Nothobranchius furzeri: one gene and its partners. The main gene of each other region encodes a partner of the protein of the gene in region 3 in a complex. Links are inferred from orthologs where the notes say so. Each region holds a gene or a part of one and is shown on either strand. Other genes may lie near its edges.

Region 1 (7,685 bases), on a different chromosome or scaffold from region 3:
TGCCGCTAGTTTATCCTCGGCTCTCTTTGTTTTTGAGGGCGCAATGGCGGCGGTGTAGACAACAGCGGCACCCTGACCAATCACAAGCTTGCGTTGTCCGTCTCGACGGACGGATGTTTAGAAAAGAGAGCTCGACTCCGTCTGTCCTTGCGGAGCTCTCCGGCAGGCCCGCAAGGACGTTGCGTGTCTCCGCAGAGACGCAGAGGCATGAATCAGGCTTAACAAGTGATAATCGGCATGTTGCCCTTGAGGCTAACAACAACAACAATAACAACAACAACTTGACATCAATCATGGAGAGGAGGGAACAAGGAGTGGACAGTAGAGAGGGGGGGCGGGTGCAGGGAGGGTGCTAGTTTAGAAGATGCTCTCTGAAGAGCAGGGTCTTCAGGAGTTTCTTGAAAATTGAAAAGGAAGCCCCTGTTCTGGTAGTGTTAGGAAGGTCATTCCACATTTGTGGAACGATGCATGAGAAGAGTCTGGATTGTCCTGAGCGTGGTGTAGGCACTGCTAGCCGACGATCCTGTGATGACCGGAGCGGCCGGGCCGAGACGTAAGCCTTTGCAAGAGGATTCAGGTAGATGGGAGCCGTACCGTCTCGGACTTTGTATGCTAGTGTTAGCGATTTGAATTTGATGCGTGCTGCTAGCGGTAGCCAGTGGAGCTCAGTGAACAGAGGGGTGACGTGTGCTCTTTTTGGCTGATTGAAGACCAGACGCGCCGCTGCGTTCTGGACCATTTGAAGAGGTCTCACAGTACAGCCTGGAAGACCCGTTAGAATAAATAAAACTTTTTATTTCGCTCTAGTAACGGTTTACAGGCACGGGTTATTTATTATGTGATTATATTGAGTGTTCGTTAGGGTCACAGCTAAAGTATTTGTGATTTAAAAAGCAATAAATCATGATTAAACAAAGTGTTGGGAGATTTGTGACGATGTAGACTCACCTCCACCTGAGAGACCTCAGCACCAATAGAAGAGCCCATTCGGCCTTTCAGCACCCGCCCTCCTCCAGTCATGGTTCCTGTGAAACACACCAGAAGAAGCTTAAAGACTTGAGCTCACTGATGAATCCAGACTTCTGTCAGAAGACACCGACCGGCCATCTCGATGATCTGTCCCTTCAAGGTGACCACCCTCCAGCGCTTGTCCCTCTGGAACGCCATCCTCGTGGCCTGCTCCATGTCCTGGGCTACGAGCGTGTCCCTCAGGGCGAAGTAGAAAGCTGGTTTCACGCCCTCGTCGTTCACTCGCACCATGTCGAACAGGCGAGGGCTGTCCTCTGGCGTGTGAATGGGAGCCATGTTCTTCTCCCACACCTTCATCTGAGAACACGAAGAACAAAGGAAGTTTCGTCGCGGTCTTTGTGACTGAAGGTGTAAAACCTTTTTACCTTGTCTAGACCGATGAAAGTGGCCACACCGATGTTCTGTTCCTTCAGGAAGGTGACGCATTTCTGAGCAGTGTCGATGGTATCCACCACGATGTTGTCCAGAGCGCCACAACAAGAGGAGATGGCCACGTCGTACTTCTCATCTATGGCTCCAAGGTCTCCCTACAGTCACAGAAACACAGTACTTACTGCTCTGTGTGTGTGTGTGTGTGTGTGTGTGTGTGTGAGTGAATACTGAAAACAGAATTTGTGTCGTGTTCGTCGACGGTGACTAAAGGGTTTTGTTGACGCCTCCTTTTCTCCAAATGAAAACGAGACGAGCTAAAAATAGCTCTTTGGTGACTAAAACATGAAACTCGACAAAAGTTATGCTTAGATGAACATTTGTGCCCGTCTTACAAAAGCTAAGCGTTACAGCGCTGCTGCTGCGATCCCCGGGTCTGCAGGTCCCACCACCGCGCAGCAGAGCGTGCGTTCTGCCTCTCTGCAAAAGTGGGAACGCGCATCGCTCAACACGGACGCTTCAGGAAGTAAACAATTAGAGCTACAAGCGATCATGAGGCTACTTTTACTTATATTTGTAATAGTAACACGTTTATTACTCATGCTTCTTGAAAACGCGATGTTTCTGGGGTAGATGAATGAGAGAAATGACGGTTTTTAACACGTTTAAGAGTCAGTTTGTCAGGATTGTTTATCCTAGGTCACCTAAATGTTCACGAGCATCTACACGCTGCTGTGGTGCAGATGAAGGACACAACCTGACCGGATCTGCATCACTACATGAATTAGATACAGCTGAGTGATTAAGAATAAAACAGATGATTGTTTTACTGGACAGCTGAGATGGTCTAATCTCCTTTAGCTCGAATATAAACGATGCTCAGAGCACGTGTGTGACCTATAAATTCATCTGTTAGACTAAATTCTCTAAAACTAAAAGCTTTTTGATTTTTATTCGACCAAAACCAAAATGCATTTTTGTCCAAAAGACTAAAACCAAGATGGCTGCCAAAAACAACTGATTACCAGTCTTCCGTAGATGCCAGGAATCCTGCCGCTCTTCTTCAGCTGCATCAGAGCGTCCAGAACTTTCCCTCGGCTGCGGTTGGAGGACAGCGAGCTCTTGGCTTCATCGACCTTCTGCCTCAGTTCCCTCACTACTTCCCTGGTCTCGTTGTCCGTCTTCATCAGCTGCTCCAGCTCAGCCTGATCCTGCAGGAATAAATAACTCATCAGAGCAGAAGCTCGTGGGTAAAAGCCACCACACAAACGCTCCTCGACTGTACCTTGTTGAGTTCCTGCTCCTTCTGGGGTATTTGCACTTCCAGGTCTTTGATTGCGGCGCGGCGTTCCTGCAGAGTCTCGGTTGTTGTTTGAAGCGTCTGTTTGGCCGCGTTGAGGTTCGTCACAGCGGTTTTGTGGCGGCTAAGATAGATGTCGAGCTCTGACTGGGCCAGATCCGCGCAAGAACGGGTCTCGTTTACGGCTTTGCTGAGCTCCATTAGTTCCTTCTCTTTTGTCTGGAAAGAACCGGAGTGGAGAGGATGTCGGCAAACAAAGGCTTGGGTTTAACAAGAAGAGTAATAATGAACATGCTCCGACCTCTTTGTCCTGTTGCAACCCGCTGGTCTCTTCTTTAAGACTTTCCATCACTTCTTTCAGTTTTTCTTCTTCTTTTGTTTTTTCTTTCTCCAGGCCGTCCTTGCGGCTCGTTGCCTCGGTGATGGCGTTTTCACTATTGGCCGGTACACTGCGCACTTCCTCCAGCTAAAAAACAAAAACAGAGACGACGCATCTGATATCATGAGGAACAGGTCACACGTGTTCACGATCAACTGCTAAAACACTCGGTCACAAATAAAGACTGAGAAGTTTAAAGCAGGAAGATTTGTTTTTCTTCCCCAGCCGTAGATGCAGTTTCCATATTTATACTTTTATTCTGTCACCGATGCGTACTTTTTAATTGTGTTTCCATCATTTGGCACAAAAAGAGGTCCGACTGACATTCGTAATTATGTCCCACGCTACAGCAGGCACGCCTCTAGCATCACAAGACCTCTAACACCGGAACATGTCAGAAACTAAGGCTGCGCGATATTAGGAAAACCTGCTCAGTGGCCTAGTGGTAGAGGGTCCGCCCTGAGACTGGGAGATCAGGGTTCGATTCCTGGCCGGGTCATACCAAAGACTTTGAAAAATGGGACCCAATGCCTCCCTGCTTGACACTCAGCATCAAGGGGTTGGATCGGGGGGGGGTGAAACCACCAAATAGTTCCCGAGCGCGGCCGTGTCTGCAGCTCACCGCTCCCCCAGGGGATGGGTCAAATGCGGAGAGCAAATTTCGCACACACACCTGTGTGTGTGACACTAATGGGACTTTAACTTTAACCTGCGACATTTGATAACAGTGATTAATTTTGCAATGACGATATTATTTGCGGTAAATAAAAACTTAACTCATGAACAAAAATAATCAAAAACAACGAAATTTAAAAAATCATAAAAATGAGAAAAGCAAAAGATGTGAGGAAAGGGAAAAAATGAACTAAAGGCGATCAGTGGATCCCGGGAAAAGCAGAATCAGCAAAAGGAGCAGAACAAAGCTAACTCAGGTGTTTGCTAACCATCAAAATGAAGTGCCGTCCGCCTCGGGGGCGGGGCATCTGACCTATGAGAACCCACCCAACGGGCCAAATGGGTGAAGAGCTCCATTTGATTTGTTAAAAATACATCATGCTGACGTTTGACTGACAGAAGGCATTACGTGTAGCAAACATTTGAGCTGACCATGTATATTTATCTGTTCTTAGCGATATGCATATTGTGCATGCTGATATCGCGATAACGATTTATTTACGATATATTGTGCAGGCCTATTAGAAACTAACAACTGAAAATCACGACACACACACGTGTCATTCTGCATTCATCTGACGATCAGCGAATGTTTTAGGAACACGTGTTTTCTTAATAATCACCATCTATTAGCTCGCTGGAAACAAATCTGTGACCAGGGCTTCAATATGCAGGAATTAAAATAAAAACCACGATTAAACTAATATAGTAGAAATAAAAATAAACAAAGTGAGCAAATAAAAAAAGGTGTAACACACACACACACACACACACACAACCAGGACTAAACTAGCCCTGATTCAGACTTAGCTTAGCATGGCTAACCCACTGCTTTGTAGGTCAGCTGAGGGTTTGTGGCTGCAGGGAGCCGGGCCATAGTGGACGACCCAGCAGAATGCTGCTCCCAGAGGTCGGCCTGCCTCTGCCTGACTAAAAACCTTCCATAGAACAAAGTCTTAGAGAAAAATCTCTTAAGTAGTGTTTCTCAGTTTATTATGGAGCGTGTGGAACACACAAGTATGAATCTTTTCCTTGGGAGAGCACCCATCTGAAGCTGGCCGTGTGTTGCTTCAGAGCCCCCTAGTGGCTCATTTACGTCAGACAGCTTCCTGTCATGAACGCTGGCCTACAGATTTAAATGGCGTTACTGCATCCTGTGGATGAAGCCAGTTTACATTAAAGATTCATTTTCTATGGTAAAAGCAGACAAAACTGTAAACATCTTTACATAATCAGACACATCGTAATAAAAGGATTTGAACCAAGAAACATTCCTGTTCTCCACTTCAGCTCAGATAGTGTGCAGATCTGGGATCATTAATCTAAATTTCAATGAGCTTAAAGATAATACTTTATATTTGTTTAATAAACGATAACCATCCACAGCAGTTAAACTAGAAGCTTTTGATCAAAATGGTATCGAGAAAAAAAATCCCAGAAGCGTCGGCTTCTTTACGCTTTTCTTCAAACCGACCAACAAACCTTTATTAATATTTCTGCTTCATTTCTCCCTGATTTGTATTGTTTTTGTTCAAAAATAATAAAAAATGTCATCATTTTCACAACAAAAGTGGTTTGAAGAAATCTGGTTAGAAACTCAACAGACTAAGAACGGCACAAACGTTATTTTTTCCTCCTCGAGTTTCTTTTTGGCCCAAAACAAGCTAACACTGCTGCTATCGCTAGTGCAGCTAATGTTACATTTATTAATGCTACAGATTTTGGGGAAAAATGTTGCTTTTTATTTTTTGTGTGTCTCAGTGCCTTTGATCGGTGTTGCTGCGGGGTTATTTATACCAGAGTGACATCACTTATCTAGTAGAAATCCGTCACAGCAAGTGGAAATGAAACCACTGAGCATTTTAAAGGCCAACACACCTTTTTTCTGTCTTTTTCCAGCTGCTTCTGCAGAGTCTTATTCTTGCTCTTGGAGTGTTTGATCTTCTCACGCACTTCAACATCCTGCAGGTCCAGCTGGGTGAACTTTTCCTTCTGGGTCTCAATGTACTTGTTGATCTCATTTTGTTTTCTGAAGGGAAAAAACAACATTTTACTGAGTAAGCCGAATCAAACCCCTCTAAATTATTTATGAAACATAACTATTTAAAACCAAAAAGATGTTCGAGTTAAAAAAGCAAATATTCTAGATTTTAAAGAACATTTCTGTTCAGTTAACTGATAAGTTACTTATAAAGGTAATGAGTCAAAACAGAAAACTATAAAAAATATTAAAGAGCAAGTCACCCCCACCAGAGTCTTACTCCACTCCCACTTCCTGTTTGACAAATGCAACAAATGCTGTTGCCTAGCAGACCGAGAGGGCGGAGCCGCTAACAAATACACACACACACACAGGCTCACAACAGCATTGTGACATCATAATGTATCAGTTAACATCATAGCATTCTTCTTAAGGTTGGTTTATGCTTGACGCGTCCGCTAGGTTTTCACGGCTCCGCGCGGAAAGCTGCGTCATTTTGACAACCACGCCCCTCCACCGCACCTCTGCACGGCCCAAACTTTCCGCACCGCGCAACCAGGAATTTTTCTAACCACGCGGACGGTTGGACGCAGAAAAACATGGCGGACTGGCAAGAACTAGTATGGCAGAGGTTTGTAAATACAGACATTTGTATGATTCAGCTCTCAGAGATCACCGTGATCAACAGGTTAATAATTCTTGGAGAGAAATAGCTCGCACTGTCGGAAAAGACGAGGACGCTGTTAAAAAATGCTGGAATGCCATGTTGTAAACAACAGTCATTTCTACTTCTACTATGGTGTAGTGTTGGATGCATGCCGTAGAGCTCCATGCTGCCCCCTACAGTTTGGGAGAATATTGTCTCACCGCAGAGACAAGCCGCATGAACCATAAACACTGCAAGTTGTGAAGCGCGTTCCATCCGCGAGCCGCATCACCAAGCGGAAAGTGAATGCGTCAAGCATAAACCAAGCTTTAGCCAATAGCTGTGGCAGATTTAAATTAAAATACAGTGCAGAGGTTTTACCTGACGACAGCGCAACACTGACAGTTATAGGCTGAATATTTAAATTTTAACTAAGATGCACTGAAGTGCCAAATTACTGAATACACGCGTCTACAGCACGATTAGACACTCGTTTAAATAGTTTATCAGCAAAAAAAGTAGATTTGGGGGTGACTTGCTCTTTAAAGAACATCTTTTTGGGAGTAACTTTCAAAAAAACATATTTACATTTAAGCAAAACTTAAATTATCCTCAACACCACATTAGGAGCAGGTAACAACCACGACCCAACCTAATCCAATAAAACTTTATTCATCTCGACAGGTAACGTGATTAAAAACGATTCAAATGACAAAAATTACTTAATTAGCAGGAAATCAAAAATTTTTTAGTAGTTAGAAACAGCAGAAGGTAGGGCTGCTCGATTATGGCAAAAATAATAATCACGATTTTAGTGACTGAAATTGAGATCACGATTATTTAGGACGATTTTTCAATTTATGATGATTTTATTTGTTTTTATTCAGTCATAAAATTGCTCAGGGCACAATTAGGACAAAAATAAGAAACAAGATGATCACTAAAATAACTCCTGATTCCCAGTATAAAAAGACCAATATACTTATAGCTCATAGTCTATGACCCAAGGGCTATAGACCTTGGTTTAACTCATTTAAGTCTAACTAGTACAGACCCAAATACCAATATCTTGCAAATACTGACAGCAAGAATTATACAGTGGCATTTATAACAAATAAATGCAAATAAATTGATGTTCACAAAATGTTGCATAACATTTATTTAGTCATGTCAAGGTGCTGTAGGAGCGTGCACTAGCACCGTGTCCTCAGAGAGATTAGTTATTATTTATCAGCGTGAGGAACTTATTTCTACCTTATTTATAAACTATTTACAGGTCGATCAGTTAATGTAATAATTGTCTCAA
Region 2 (7,685 bases), on a different chromosome or scaffold from region 3:
GTCAAAGTGGCCTTAAAAAAGTCTTCAAAGTCTTAAATTTGGCTCCCTTAAACCTGCAGATACCCTGTGTGTGTGTGTGTGTGTGTGTGTGTGTGTGTGTGTGTGTGTGTGTGTGTGTGTGTGTGTGTGTGTGTGTGTGTGTGTGTGTGTGTGTGTGTGTGTGTGTGTGTGTGTGTGTGTGTGTGTGTGTGTGTGTGTGTGTGTGTGTGGTACATACTGAGGACCATTTTTCCTACAAAGTGAGGACATTTTTTTTGTTCCTCACTTTTATTTAGAAGCGTACCAGAAGCTCACTTTACCAGTTAGAGGTATTATGTGAATTAAGTTTTATGTTTATTTATTTGGAAGATGCTTTTATCCAAAGCGACTTACAATTTATAACCTATAGGGCATGTTGTGATCTGTGGGGGAAACCGGAGCACCCGGAGGAAACCCACGCATGCATGGGGAGAACACGCAACCCCACGCAGAAAGGCCGCAGCTGAGTTTCGAACCTGCAACCTTCGTGCTGTGAGGCAACAGTGCTAACCACTGTGCCACCATGCAGCCAAGTTTTCTTTAAGGTTAGGGTTAGGACTAGATCAGCGTTGGGGTTAGGGTTAGGGTTAGGGTTAGGCATGGTGAAATCACAAAAATGAATGGAAGTCAATGGAGGGTCCTCACTATGGTAGAAAGGTGTGTGTGTGTGTGTGTGTGTGTGTGTGTGTGTGTGTGTGTGTGTGTGTGTGTGTGTGTGTGTGTGTGTGTGTGTGTGTGTGTGTGTGTGTGTGTGTGTGTGTGTGTGTGTGTGTGTGTGTGTGTGTGTGTGTGTGTGTGTGTGTGTGTGTGTGTGTGTGTGTGTGTGTGTGTGTCCAATTTGCTCTTGCTGATATGCTATGAAATATTTTTTTTCCAATTCTGATTCACATCTAAATTCAGCATCCCGGTCCAATTACTTAGTTGAGATGTTTTTTGATCAGAAATGGGGGGAAATAAAGTCTTTTCTATTTTGTTCATGTCCGCTTTAAAAATGTCACTTTGTCATTAATTAGGGGGTGAAGGCACATGCCTCCTGTTGCTATTTTAATTGGTCAATGCATTGTTTGACATTTTCTTTGCAGCTTTAGCATGAGTTGCTGTCACAGTATTGGAATATATATTTTCCGTTTTCTTCCTGCAGTGGCAGTGATCAAAGCGTCTGAGCTGTGGGCTGCCATGGAGCCTGAGCTCCTTGAAACAGCCAGGACAGCTCTGGAGCCCACGAGTGAAACGGAGAGAGAGGAGCAAGAGGACGAGGAAGACGGGGATCCGGAGGAAGAAAAGCCAGCAGAAGACGACAGAGCAGCTGCACTGAGGATAGCTCAGTTCCTTCGTGTCAACAAATACAGGTAATGCTAATCACCTGTGGAGACCTGAGTGAAAACAGACCCATCAGGGTTATTAAAGTTATCCAGCATCACACGATGTCACACGTACACACATTTGACGTGATTATCTGTGCACCTCCATCTTTCTGTAGGAAAGCTGTTCAGCTGTGTATACGAGCTCACAGTAGCTTTCCTGAATCTGAGATGTTTGCCTCCTTGTCTACACTCACCCCTGACAATCTGATGGATGCAATGGCGTTCATTTTTAAAGGTAAAACATGGATCTCTTGGAGTTCTCAGAGGAAGCAAAATTAGCCAAATAAACGTAATCCTGGTCGCTTTGGTTGATGAAATGTTTTTACGTTGACATTTCTATAATATTTGTCTTTTTAATGAAGTGAATTACAGATGTGGTTAAACTAATCTAGTCAGACGGCGCAGATGTCCACCAGCACTGTGCCTAACTGTTCAGTCGTAACCGCGGAAACAAGCAAGCAGTTTAATTCATGCATGTTTTTGTCTCGATGAGATGTCAGTTCAATTAATCTTGTTTAAATTGCTCCCATAAATTATAACATTATGGCCGACAGGCAGAAATAAATCAGTGCTCGTCTTATTTAAAGGGGCATTATGGAAGTTTGACAGCTAAAACATGTATAGAAATAATAAATGTCTTCTTCATACATTCTCCTGCAATGCCCTGGTCCTGTAGAATGAGCCCTGGCATTTTTACTGTGATTGCCTGTTTTTCTGTAAAATCACAGAAAAAGAGAGATGCTCGGGTCGAGCAGGCTGCTTAATGCACGTTCACGCTCAGGCATAGCCCGTAGCGTTTGCTATCCGTAGCTTTAGCAGCAGAGAGAGAGGTAGTGCCACTTTGTCGCTGTTCCTAACGCCTAGTGATGAACCTAGCTACATTTCTGAGGACCCTTAGTTACTTTCTTCTAGATATTTCCTGCAAATTAGCAACAAAATAGCCATTTTCGCTCCAAACCGTTCTTTGGTTTGACATTTCAGGTGTCATCAAGGGTATAAAAGTTACAGATACCTTGAATGCTACTAGAGTGTAGCTCACCTTGTAAGATGTCTGACTCTCATGCAAAAGACCTGGGTTTGAATCTGGTTGTGAACATAGTTCATTTAAGTTTCCTTTTTACATTAATGGTATATTTTTTTACAGTAAGATGCCCAAATTTTTATTTGAGACTCGCCGAACGGCATTGAATTCACAGATAAAAAAGATGTGGGTTCAACTTTCATTTTGGAACAATTTTTCAAGCAAGGGAAGGGAATGATCTGAGCATGCAGGAGGACTGACCCATCTTAAACCTTTGTCGGCTGTGCTGAAGAGAAAGGTACAGAACCAAATTATTTAATTAATTAGCTGCATGTTCTCCTGTCCTCCGACACACACACACACCATCACACACAAGGGACTGTCTCAGCTGTTATTTTCGTTAAGGAGTGTGCACGTACAGCATGCGCACCTCGTGCACGAGCCTACTATTGAAGCTGCCGTTACGCTTTTGGCCTGAGGGGGCAATCACGAGCATAAAAATTCAAAACTCCGTAAAGTTTCTTTAAAGAGAAAGCCCCCCCTCAAAATTTAGCAACTCAGCACCGCTCTCTCCGCCAGGCGACGCCTCCTTTTGGAGCATTTTTTTTAAACCAGAAGTGTGTGTGGAGTTCGACTCGGGTAAGAGTTGACGTACTCTCCTTATGGGCGTTGCCTTGACGTTTGCCATGCTGCACCACAGAGCAGTACCTCCCTACAGTCTGAGTTCACCCCATCCCAACTCCACTTTCAGTCCGAAACCCTTCCACAATGACCCCTAAAGCCTTTCTGCTAATGTTTCCATTCCAGACTTCCCAGGTGGCCGTAATGTTATTATGGATCATAAAAGTAAATGAGTTTTTATTTTGACATGAGTGATCACTTCCTTCCTGCTGGTATTTAGTTTGATCTAAAAGCGTGAGATTTACAGAAAGCTTGTAAATGTTGTGGAGGGTTTATTTTAACGCGCCAGCTGACGCGGTTCCGCTGTCAGTAATTAATCCACGGTGTTCCCCTCAGGCTCCGGTGAAGATTCCTCTGAGCTCAGCCAGAATCTGCCACCTACCCCTGTAGAGGAAGAGAAAGAGGGGGAGGATGGCGAGCTGAAAAAGCAGGAGATGCTTGTGCAGTACTTGAGAGACACAGAAACTTTTGCCTTACAAGTGGAGAGAGCAATTTCTGTCATCAACAACATGCTCTACTGGAAAATAACCTCAGGTAGACGGTCTCGTCCACTGACGTCTCCGTTTGTCATTTCAGTGTACTAGAGATGAAGTAGCACAGTCTGAGATTTAGTTTTTGTTTATTCTTAGTGGTCCAGGAAGCAGTGCAGTTCTGTGTGACTGTGTGCGAGTTCAGTGTTGCTAACTCTATTAGCGGCGTGAGGAAGATGCTACCTCTGGTCTGGTCCACTGATGCGGCCATTAAAGACGCCGTCGTTCAGGCCTACAGACGCCTGTATCTGAACCCTCAGGGAGACACGATCAGGTCTGTTCCGCTGCTTTTTCACTATTTAATGATGAAACCGTTCCGTTCCTGTTCCAGGGTATCTGCGGGTCCTTAAAAAGTCTTACATTTGGCTCCCTTAAACCTGCAGATACCCTGTGTTCACATTCTTCATACTTGGGTTTAACAAGTAGGTTTGGTTAATGGCTTCACTTCTTATACCTTTCACATAAACCCGTAAACATTTTGTTTGCCTTCTGGATTGTTTTGCAAGCATGTAGAATAAAATCTGGGCCAAAATGAAAATCAAATAGGACGTAGTACGTGGTGAGAACCATGTCTGTGTGGTGTTTTTGTTAGGATGAAAGCCCAGACTCTCATCGACAGCCTCTCTGAACTGATGGTGGATGCATCTCTGGGAACCATCCAGTGTCTTGAGGAAATAGTGAGTAATAATTACTCGCGTATGAATCATTTAAATCTTTTTTATTTCTGCACCCTTATAAAAGCACATTTTTGCATAATGCTGGGGAGCATCTAAATGTTCCACAGTGTGCACTAAAGGGATTTTCTATGGAGATGTTTTGAATGTAAACGCTTGAAGCCTATAAGGAATGGTGTAACTGTGCATTCATGTCTCCGTAGGTGCAGGAGTTCTTTGGCAGCGGCAGCAATCTCCAGTCCACGGTGATTCAGGTCTTGTGGGAGAGATTTACCGGAAAACGCGAAACGTCGGTCTTACACAAGAGAGCTGCGGTGCTGCTGCTGGGCATGGCTGCACGGTAAACTCCTGAAGCCTTTTGTCCTCCTGCAATACACAAAACATCTAAATAAAGTTTTGTTTAAGTCTGCTCAGACTGTCAAACGTGACTACATCCACTGTGACCTTAGTGTGATGTGTTGTTCATGTAGCAGAGCTAATGAAGGATTCAATTCAATTTTATTTATAAAGCGCCAAATCACGACAAGAGTTGTCTCAAAGTACTTCACATAGTAAACATTTCACTTCAGGTCAGTTCATTAAGCCAATCAGAAATAATGTTTCCTATATAAAGAACCCAGCAAATTGCATCAAGTCACTGACTAGTGTCAGTGACTATACAGCAATCCTCATGCTAAACAAGTATATAGCGACAGTGGAGAGGAAAACTCCCTTTTAACAGGAAGAAACCTCCAGAGGATCCTGGCTCAGTATAAGCAGCCATCCTCCACGACTCACTGGGGATGGAGGAGACCGAGCACGCACACACACACACACACACACACACACAGCAATGTGTCTATGGTTACATTGTGATTGCTTAGTAAATATTGTATTTAGCGAGAGATACACTTTATTGTATGTATCCTAGTGGATCTATGATTAAACGGATAAACTAGTAGTAGCACATCCAACGTCAAGGAAAGCAAAAAGTTATTATCAGGAGAGGGAGAATGTTTTAGTGGTTAGCAGCAGTGTGTTAAGCCTGGTTTATGCTTCTCCGTCAGCTCCGCAAGGGACAGACACGCACGGATTGACGGAAGCGTTTTGCTCTTTTACTTCTCCGTCTCCTGGAGAGTGTTGCAAAGCAATTGCCCGGCAGGACAACAGAGGGCGTAGCGCTGTTCTGTGGTATCCTGTCATGTATCGGTCCAAGATCGTTTGTTTATATTGTGTTTTTTGTGTATATAAGAGACTTTCAACACGGACATATTTGTCTCTCATTCTCCCACCGCTTCTTGCGCTCCCCACCTCTAAACCCACGTTTCCTGTCATTTCCGTCCACAAATAAAACGCTTGCTGCGCATCTTTTCACTTCTCCAGTCACGGGAGGATTAAACGTTCATATTTTTAGAGTTTTTTCGCGAGGTATTCTTCAAGCTTCTCCGTGTCTGCCGCTAGTTAAACTCGGCTCTCTTTGCAATGGCGGCGCTGTAAACAAAAGTGGCGTCCTGACCAATCACAAGCTTGCGTAATCCGTCTCATTCGACGGATGTTTAAAAAAGTGGGCTCGACTCCGTACGTACTTGCGTGCCTGCCGGGGCCCTACACAAGGACGGATAATGGCGTTGCGTTTGCTCCGCACTGACGCAGACGGAGAAGCATAAATCAGGCTTTAGACGATGGGGCCACCACAGCTCAGCAGAACATCATTGTAGCTTCTTCTGGGAAGAAAAAACACTTAGAGAAAAAATAAAGTTAACAGCTGAAATTGCAGAAAATAATACAGTTAAAGAGCAGATTGTAGAAGAAAGTAGTCAAGTGTGAAAAGTGGTCAGTGTATCCTCCAGCTGGTGCTCTTGTTTCAAGTAGAATTCAGCCAGCAGAGAGGGGAGCAGCAGACAGCAGGTTTTGGCATATTACTTCCTGTTGTCTGTGAAGGTTCTTACTTATTACTTCCTGTTATTCGGACATCTCTTCTCTGATTGGCTAACAGCAACACGACTCGCATATGGATAAAAAGTGGTTCTAGTTTAATTTCATTCATTACAGTCTACAAGCTAAAATATTAGCTTTTCAAGCGTCTCCTGTGCTCCGCTTTGAGAAAGCGTTGTTTGTTTTTGATGTTTCCTTTGCCTTTTGCCCGGTGATGAGACCAAGGCGAATACGAGCTCACGGAACGAGAGCTGGGTCCTTTTTGCTTTGACTGGCGGGTAATCTTGGTAGTGCAGAGGAGGATTTCTGCTCTGCTGTAAGGGCCTGCCGACAGCAACTTGGCTCAACCCAAATTATTCCTCTACAGTCTTAGAGGAGTCATTTCTTGGGGTGATGCTGACAGTGTGTGTGTGTGTGTGTGTGTGTGTGTGTGTGTGTGTGTGTGTGTGTGTGTGTGTGTGTGTGTGTGTGTGTGTTTGCAAAAGGCAAAAAGTTCACCCATCCCTCTTTGCCGTTCCGTGAACGATGAGTTTCTTCTTTGGTAATCTGAGGGCAGAATCTTTCTCTAAAGCTATTTTCGATGTTTACCTTCACAAACTCATGGCTGCTGAATTATTCATGGCAAACTGACTCTGTTTGCAACGTTGATGTTTCCGTTTTCACAAATGAAACAAGTCTGAAGGAGTTCTGCTGTGTGGTGGAGTTGATAATGCTAACAGTTAGCTTCTACTGGCTGAGATGCTAAGTCATCAACGGCTCCCTGTCGCGAGCCAAGCTGGGTGAGTTCATGAATGCTAATTTACAGGGCGGCGTAGATCTGAGTGTTTTCCTGTCTTTTCTGTCGGCGGCTAAAATCAGGAAAGCGGGGTAGAAGACTGTTTTCAGGTTTAGCCTGCGTGCAAACTCAGTCACCGATCATATTTATAAAAAGCTAAACAGTTTTTCAGTGAACTTGGTCTTTACATTTTTCCTTCAAAATAAAAAACAAAATCTTTCTGGCAATTAAGACTTTTAGTGAAGGAATTAAACAGACAGAATCAGTAACTTTACTTTATTTCCAACTTGATTAGTCATTTAAACAAACTAATCTGGGCACCGAACATTATTTCTGTTTATCACATTCCACAGGCTTTGGTTTTTACCTGTTGGTAGGGAAAAAACCTACATCAGGTGCTGTTGCTGTCTTGATAATAACCCGTTTCAGTCCGGCCTCAGCGACTTAAAATTCAGCAAATCCTCATTAGGCAGAGCACAAGCCCAGCCTCTGCTCTTCTTCGCTGTAATCGAAGTCACGACCGAATAACCAGGCTTCTAGCCAGGACCTTTTCTATTAGAGAGTAAAGGGTATCTGCAGTCTGCCCACACTGCTGCTTCCTCATCCAGCATCGGCAGAACTCATAACCTATTAAACCTTCCGTGCTTTTCCTAACTTGCCCTCCTACGTGCATTATCCAGGCACACAGGCGAGGCCAGCATGGAGTCC
Region 3 (7,685 bases):
TGTGCGACACAACGAATCGATGACGCAATTCGTTGCCAACGCTTTTAGTAATCGATTTTCATCGAATTTATCGATTCGTTGTTGCAGCCCTAAACTCATCACTGCACACACATCGATCTGCCTGGCTGCCATGCATCTGCAGAAGTTAGTGATGGCCTGCTTTGTTTGTATGCAGTGCTTTGGGGACTCCTGCTGCTATCCCCAAGCTGTCAAATGCTCAAATTTCAGAGCACTACTCGACCTGCATAAAACTTTCCACTGAGAATGTAAGTATTCAGCCTGGGTGAGTAAAATGATAAATGGCCTGCACTTGTATAGTGCCTTTCTGAGTCAGTGGACTACTAAGCTCTTTACACTACAATGCATCATTCATCCATTCACACCCTGGTGGTGATGAGCTACAATGTAGCACAGCTGCTGAGGGACACACTGACAGGCGAGGCTTTCCAAGCACAGTCGCAGGCAAGGTGGGTTAAGTGTCTTGCCCAAGGACACAACAGCAGCATTCCCTGGCAGAGCTGGGAACGAACCTGCAACCAAATGATTACTGGACAACTCGTTCTAACTCCTGAGCTTCTGCTGCATAAAAATAGTAGCTCAAAAGAAACAAACTCATCATGTAGAGGATGGGATAAAATATCTCCACATTCTGGCATGTTTTAAATAGACATGCACCGATATGGCATTTGGACCAATACCGATATCAATATCACTGTAGTGGCTGATACGATATACTAGGGCTGGGCGATACGGCCTAAAATCAATATCACGATACACTGAGGATTTCACCTCGATAACCATAAATGGACGATAATTACAGGTATGCAGAAACAAAAGTTGTCCACTAGATGGGGCTGTCACATGTATTATATTGAGTCACATGCTTGCATGACTCAATGTGGTACAGCTTCTTAAAGGGACATGAACGTTGCCAACCTACTCACATCTTTTCATTTATTATCAAATTTATCGACATGGGAAAAATGATCTTGATAAGAGTCAGAAGTTTCAATAACAATAAATTTTCGATTTATTGCCCAGCCCTACAATATACTGACATTAATGCTTCTAAAATCTGTAGATTTTTTATAGAATACAAATTATTAAAGCTGAATTTACATCATTAAGTACACACATCACACGCATTTACGCTTCTGCGATGATTAAAATAATTGTCACATGACTAAACAAATACACATCACCCCCTCACGCTGAAACAGATAAACAAATGGAACCAAGATGGGAAAAATATTGGTTGTTAATATCGGCCCAGTTTTATTTATCGGACCGTTACCGATATGTTGAGAAAGGACTAACATCGGCTGATACCGATATTATTGCTGATATATTGTCCGTCCCTAGTTTTAAAAATAATCTTCTCTGGTTCCGACGGTTTTGTAGACTCGCAGCGACTTCTCTGTTTTAAAGACACACTGTTATTCATTCTTTTGGCTAAAAGATGTTTTTGGGATTCACCTTACTGAGACAAAATCAAGTTCCATATTTTGTAGATTCTACTAAAAAGTTATGTGCTTCTGACTGCTAGTAACGAACCGCCACGAAATACAAACTTGTAGTTTTAAGTTTGCATTTAATGTTTTGTTAAATAAAACTTTCACTTTTGAAAATTTGAATGAAGACATTCATCCACTGTATTTCTTTTCCTCCTTTTCTTTCTCTTATTTTGTAGAAAATCACCACAAAAAATGCTTTTGGCTTGCATCTGATTGATTACATGGCCGATATTCTAAAGCAGAAGGATTCTGAACTCACCAACTTCAAGGTTTGGCTCTTTTGGTGACTTCTTTGTTTTCTTTTCATTTTTAACTGGCTGAAATGGCAAAGTCCTATTTCTGATGTTTGATTTTGAAACAAGTTAAGAGTAAAGTGTTTCTCACCCTGTGTATTCTTGAAGAAAATGTTTCGGCCCATTTTGAAGTCCAAAACAACGATCTGAATAAATAACCTAGTTTTGCTGAGAAAGTCTTGGAAAATGTTCATCTACAAATAATTTACCTTTAGCAAAGTATAGCATTGATTTTTCATTAATTTAAATGATAATATCTGTTCATATGATTTGCTAAAATCCATCTAAGCATGGAGAGAAGTGTGAACCGTCTGGATTCAAGAGATGCTGCAGAACTGGGACACGGCTTTCGGATTTGATTTCTGAGTTTTTAACAATGTACCGTAAATCCTCTAATACAGGCCTGTATTCAATTAACGGCCGGGTCTCATATTTTGGCCGGTGTCGGAGTCGGCGGAGGTGAATAATGGCCGGTCTCTTATTGTAGCCGGGTGGAATGTGGTAACAAGCAAGTACCACAGGGGGGCGGTTGTGTCATCGTCTCACTTTTGATTTGCCAGTGATAGACCGCGAGAGTAACTTTAACCGTGCGGAGACGAATAGGAGGCGAAAATTTGATATCAAGTTCAAAGAGAACGTGCTGATTATGCTGCAGAACACTGGGAAGCAGTAGGGGTTGTGTGAACTAGTCGACTTCACTATAGGGACTTTTTATGCCTGTCATCGACTAGTCGCTGTCACGTGATAATGACCGGCAAGCTGCAGCCCTCGGAAAAGACAGCAGCCTGCTGTCAGCAGGTGATAAGCTCCTGCGCTCAGGAGGGCAACGCGCTGTGCCAGAGCGTCGGTACTGACACGCGATCATTCATGTCGGTTCATTTCCTTTAATGTTTTCTGTCTTTTATTTGCGCCTGATGTGTTTCGCTGCTGTGGAGCGGGGCACATCACCTTGTCATCCGACGCACCGATCACTGATGCGGCCGCCAAGCAGCGAGCACCCCGCTGTTGTAGCGGTCGGTAGATCTTTTAGAACTGCAGCTCAAAGGTAACTCATAAGGTGAATATATATGAAGGCAGGTAGCAGTTTTTCTTTAGGATTGAGAGGAGATGCAGGAAGATAATAAACAGATACAGGACAGAAAAACAGTCAAATAAAAACAAGTTAGTTTTTGTACCTGGTGGTTGCAACAAACAGACACCATTGAAGGTAATCAGAAGTGAGGAACAGAAAATGAAATAATTATTTTAATGTTTAGAGCAGCAGGAACTCTGAGAGGCTGCAGGCGCATCAGTGAGTTTGCGGCCGCTGCGCGGGGGGAGGGGGGAGAGGGATGAAGCAGGAACTACCGTTGTTAAAAGAAATGTGTTTAACTTTGAAAATGTGGGCGCAATTTTAATTGTCAAAAACTCCAGCGAACCATTAGTTCATTTTGCTCAAATAGAAATTGAGGCCTGCCTCTAATTCTGGTCCTCCTTCCAATAAAGGCCTGGAGCTTGATGAGCTTGAGTCAAATACAGGCCCGGGCCTGTATTAGAGGATTTACGGTAAACATTATTCTTCAAGCAGAAGCTATGTGAAAACTTGTGTATATGAAGGAAGTCCAATCTCTGTGTGTGTGTGTGTGTGTGTGTGTGTGTGTGTGTGTGTGTGTGTGTGTGTGTGTGTGTGTGTGTGTGTGTGTGTGTGTGTGTGTGTGTGTGTGTGTGTGTGTGTGTGTGTGTGTGTGTGTGTGTGTGTGTGTGTGTGTGTGTGTGTGTGTGTAAGGTGGCAGCTGGCACTCTGGATGCTAGTACAAAGATCTACGCTGTGAGGGTGGATGCTGTTCACGCGGATGCTTACAGAGTGCTGGGTGGTCTAGGAGCCGAAACTAAACCTGGCGAGGGTGAGACGGCGGAGTTGTGTGCTGCTCATAAGCATTAGAGTTCAGCTCAGTATGGAAAAGAGGTTTTCTGACTCAGAACATGTGTTGTCATGAGAAATGGGCATAATTCTAATATGAGGATTAACATAAAACACAGTCGTTTGAGTCAAAGCAGGCAAATCTATTTAAACAGCCCTCTCATTCGTGTTAAAATGCAGAATATAGAGGGCTTTTATTTGTGAAGCAGATTCTGAAGTCCAAAAATCACTTTTCCTCACATTTCAACAAACCGCAAGAAGATAAAGAACGGGGCTGTTATCTTTTAAATAAAGCAACAAACTAGTGTAGGGCAGAGAAAACTAATTCACTTTGTCCAAACATGTTGGCGTGTAATCCCAGATAAATAACAATCACTGTTTTATAGATCAGTGGCAAAAGTTCAGGATTAAAAACTGCAGCAGTTGCCATTAAACCCTTGTGTTGTAGGTTTTCTCCTCTGGGTTAGTCCCAGTCAGGTTTCATTCATTCACAAACAACATTTCCTTCTCTGATCAGTGCAGAAGATCATTTCATAAACGCTGTCTGACACTATAGGACCACTCTGGATCTAAAGTTTTTTTGTGCCACAATTTTAAATGTAGCCAGACAGGTCTGCTCTGCGAACATACGCTCCTGTGTCATGTTGAACTCTGTGCTGGTGCAGGCCGTGGAGCAGAAGAGGACGGAGACGATGCAGCTGCAGAAGGAGAAGGCACCGCCAAGCAGCCAAAGAAAAAGAGACCTCCGAAAAAAACCGTAGAGCAGAACCTGAGCAACATCAACAGCACCGAGTCAGAGAGGAGGTGTGAGGTGTGTTCTGGTCTTTCTACACACACACACACACCACTGCTGCTGCGTTCCGTGTTCCTTCTCTAAGGAAAACTGAAAACTGTTGCAATCTTAATCCTAACTCACCTAAAAGCTAGAACTTTTCTCTTGGGCTGTTTAAAGCCTGGCTTCGGTTTGAGAATCTCCCCAGAAGTGTTGAAATATACAGAATGGGGAAATGGTCCCGTTTCCAGGTGTTCGTGATCTTTTATCTGACTAATAGACCCTTTTACTACCTACGTCATCAAAAGTTGCGCGCGTAGCCTGGCAACGAGAGTGAAGGCTTCCTCATTCACACTCGATACTAAAACAGCGTTTGAAACCTTTTGTTTTGAAGTTCTGAGCACATAAAAATGTCGGGTTGTTGCATGTATGGATGCCAGAATCGCTTCTCTTCAAGCAGTGGACTGAAACTTTACAGAATTCCGAAGGGAGCACATCCATTTCAACAAAATCGGGGGCGTCTGTGGCTGCAGGCCATCAAAAGGGTTGATGAAAACTGGACTGAAAACACGATCCGAAATGCTCGAGTTTGTAGCGCCCATTTTATATCAGGTAAGGTAATTATGTACTAAGGTTACACCAGAAAGCTGGTTAACGTGTGTTCTATTAAATAAAGTAAGATGCGTTTGCTGGTTTGCTTTTAAGCAGTCTATTTATTTACAGGTGAGGTTTTCTGTTTTTCCCATCCTAACACAAAGCTCAACTTTGAATAAAAGTGCTGCTGCGTGGCTGCAGCATGACCCAAGTCTGGAACATCAAAATTACAGAATTAAACACATTTATATGCTTTATTTCATGCTTCAAATTAACATTTCATTCTAACTCATCTGTATTTTCTCACTGCATATTAGTATAAACTGTATTTCTCTAAAATTAACACGATTGTACTCTGAGCATGCTAAAAAAAAGAAACCTATGCTATACTCACCCTGCCATGCAGGTACAGTTGGCTGTGAAGACGTAGTTCTCTGGTGTGTTTACTATGACCCAAGCCTCGTACGTAGCAGTCTTGTGTCCTTGTCTTTGGCTAGGAAGGACTTCTGCCTTCAAGACGCAAAACTCAGAGTCTATGTCATGATATTTTACTTTCTGTACGTGGCCACAGACAACATAGTTGTATGCATCTAACGATTTGTATGCCCGTAGCTTCTCACGTGTGTACTTACTGGGCCTCTCCACTAAAAACGTACATATACCGGGCCACTGGATATCGGGCCACGCACCTACATCTTCCACCCATTCCGTAATGCCACAGGGATCCGGGAGTCTGTTGCCATTCGTTAAAGTGAGTTTAATAATGTAACATTCAAGATTTGCCGGTGATAACCCCGCAGCGTAGCTTTATAAAGCCTGACACAACGACATTCTCTGTTGCCAAGCTGCGCGCGCATTCTCGCTGACGTCATATTGTTTACAAACAGTAAAAGGGTCTATAAAAACCAGGTTTTGTGAAACGAGACTGCTCAGAGGAGCAGACAGTTAAACTCCTGGCCGTTGGAACGGATATGTTATTTCACCAAGTTATTGGTCATTTGATTCATGCAAATGTGTTAATGTCTATGTGCAGGTGGACCCCATGTTTCACCGCATGGCTTCATCCTTCGATGAGACCAGCACAGCAGGGGTGTTTTTGCCGGTTCTCTTCAGTGAGAGCAGTCGCTGTGAGCTGCTCTTTCCCTCCCACCTCACCCTCCTGCAGTCCCGACCGTCCTACTCCCCTCCACCTCCACACAGAGTCCCCGCAGCACCCTTCAAGGGTAAGACGGATCAAAGCCTTCTTGTTGCTTGTACGGTCTAATGTTTGTGCACCAATGTGTCAGATTTGGTTACAAAAGCTTTATGTTGGAATTTCACCAGCTGGACTGCAGCATTCCCAGGAAAAATGCTCCATCTGTCCCTCGCTGCAGGATTTCTCCTTCACCAGCTGGAACCCTGAGCAGGTAAAGAACGGTTGTGATCGATTCTGTCAGAGTTGGCCGTCTCATCTCCACTTGTCCTACTAAAGACTCCATGAATCCGTCTGATTGTTGGGATTTATTTAGTGGGACAGGATAAAAACCGGTTGCTCAGCAGACCAGTACATCACACCAGTCCCCGCTTAAGCTGCCCGTTACCGCTGACTGGGTGGTCTTGGACCACGTGTCCGCGGAGTCTGAACGGCGGTTACAGATTGGTCACTTAATTTAAGGACAATGAAGACCCTTCAAAAGTCTGGTGGCATCTTTCTAGAATAAGTTTTTTAACGCTTTGGGATCTGGATAGCATGGCTTTACGTTCCGCCTCTCCAGACGCATCATTTCCGGTTTATGTCGAGTCAAGCTAAGCTGCCAGGTCCAGCTGAGTAAGAAGATTCTTGGCAGACAGAAAAAGTTGGGAGTGTTTTATTTGTGTTTTCCTGTTTTTAATTAGAGACGCTTCATAAACGACATGGTGTCTCATAAAGGGTTAGAGTCATTTACAGGGTATCCGCGGGTCCTTACAAAGTCTTAAATTTGCTTTTCTAAATTTAAGGCCTTAAAAATTACAAATAATCCTTAAATACAGTTTCCAAAGGTCTTAGATTACCAAAGACCCTATGAACAAGAATTTCTAGTTAGTTCAGCATTTTTTGTGTACGATGTTGGCGTAAGCGTAACCGTACACATTCAGTTGGTTGTGAAAGGGGGCTATTTTTAGATGAGCACATTAGCTGGTTAAGCTAGTGGGAGCTTGCGCCATGGGGAAGTGCAAGTTTAATGGTAACTGGGTGGCTAATCCCACGTTCGTGACGTGGTTAGCACCGGTTCCAGGCAATAGCTGGAAAATATAGCTTAAAATTAATTTAAAAAATAGCTTAAATTTGGTCAAAGTGGCCTTAAAAAAGGTCTTAAAAAGTCTTAAATGTGGCTCCCTTAAACCTGCAGATACCCTGCATTTACTTTGACTCATTTTCATAAGTTTTGCTTTGGTTCACGTTTTATTTGCTAAGTAGATTTTTTCCTGTTATCTTCTAGAATCACAGCTACAGGTATATTGTGACAAAGACTCAATAGGAGGTCTAAAGGTGTTGAATTGTACGTGGAGGCCATTGCTGTTGTGTTTCCTCTTGAGATCTCCTCACCCTCCAGACGCTGCTGCCCCGTGCTCCATCCTTTGTTGTTGTTTCT

What was found. Proteins that work in one complex are often made in the same cells at the same time.
Region 1: ncaph (region 3) and smc4 share a complex: the UniProt entries of both Homo sapiens proteins name them as parts of the condensin complex. The link is inferred for Nothobranchius furzeri from reciprocal best matches to the Homo sapiens genes NCAPH and SMC4.
Region 2: ncaph (region 3) and ncapd2 share a complex: the UniProt entries of both Homo sapiens proteins name them as parts of the condensin complex. The link is inferred for Nothobranchius furzeri from reciprocal best matches to the Homo sapiens genes NCAPH and NCAPD2.

The regions. Positions count from the first base shown.
Region 1 is NC_091753.1:52,611,785-52,619,469, reverse strand, and holds part of smc4 (structural maintenance of chromosomes protein 4), read right to left. Parts: intron 5,782-7,685; coding exon 5,631-5,781; intron 3,165-5,630; coding exon 3,000-3,164; intron 2,918-2,999; coding exon 2,684-2,917; intron 2,610-2,683; coding exon 2,424-2,609; intron 1,557-2,423; coding exon 1,395-1,556; intron 1,327-1,394; coding exon 1,101-1,326; intron 1,026-1,100; coding exon 949-1,025; intron 1-948. UniProt on the Homo sapiens protein: Central component of the condensin complex, a complex required for conversion of interphase chromatin into mitotic-like condense chromosomes.
Region 2 is NC_091745.1:73,740,500-73,748,184, forward strand, and holds part of ncapd2 (condensin complex subunit 1), read left to right. Parts: intron 1-1,159; coding exon 1,160-1,367; intron 1,368-1,498; coding exon 1,499-1,617; intron 1,618-3,420; coding exon 3,421-3,618; intron 3,619-3,713; coding exon 3,714-3,888; intron 3,889-4,206; coding exon 4,207-4,291; intron 4,292-4,491; coding exon 4,492-4,628; intron 4,629-6,408; exon of another isoform or gene 6,409-6,757; intron 6,758-7,685. UniProt on the Homo sapiens protein: Regulatory subunit of the condensin complex, a complex required for conversion of interphase chromatin into mitotic-like condense chromosomes.
Region 3 is NC_091757.1:27,688,552-27,696,236, forward strand, and holds part of ncaph (condensin complex subunit 2), read left to right. Parts: intron 1-175; coding exon 176-266; intron 267-1,690; coding exon 1,691-1,783; intron 1,784-3,572; coding exon 3,573-3,690; intron 3,691-4,372; coding exon 4,373-4,518; intron 4,519-6,106; coding exon 6,107-6,296; intron 6,297-6,396; coding exon 6,397-6,479; intron 6,480-7,685. UniProt on the Homo sapiens protein: Regulatory subunit of the condensin complex, a complex required for conversion of interphase chromatin into mitotic-like condense chromosomes.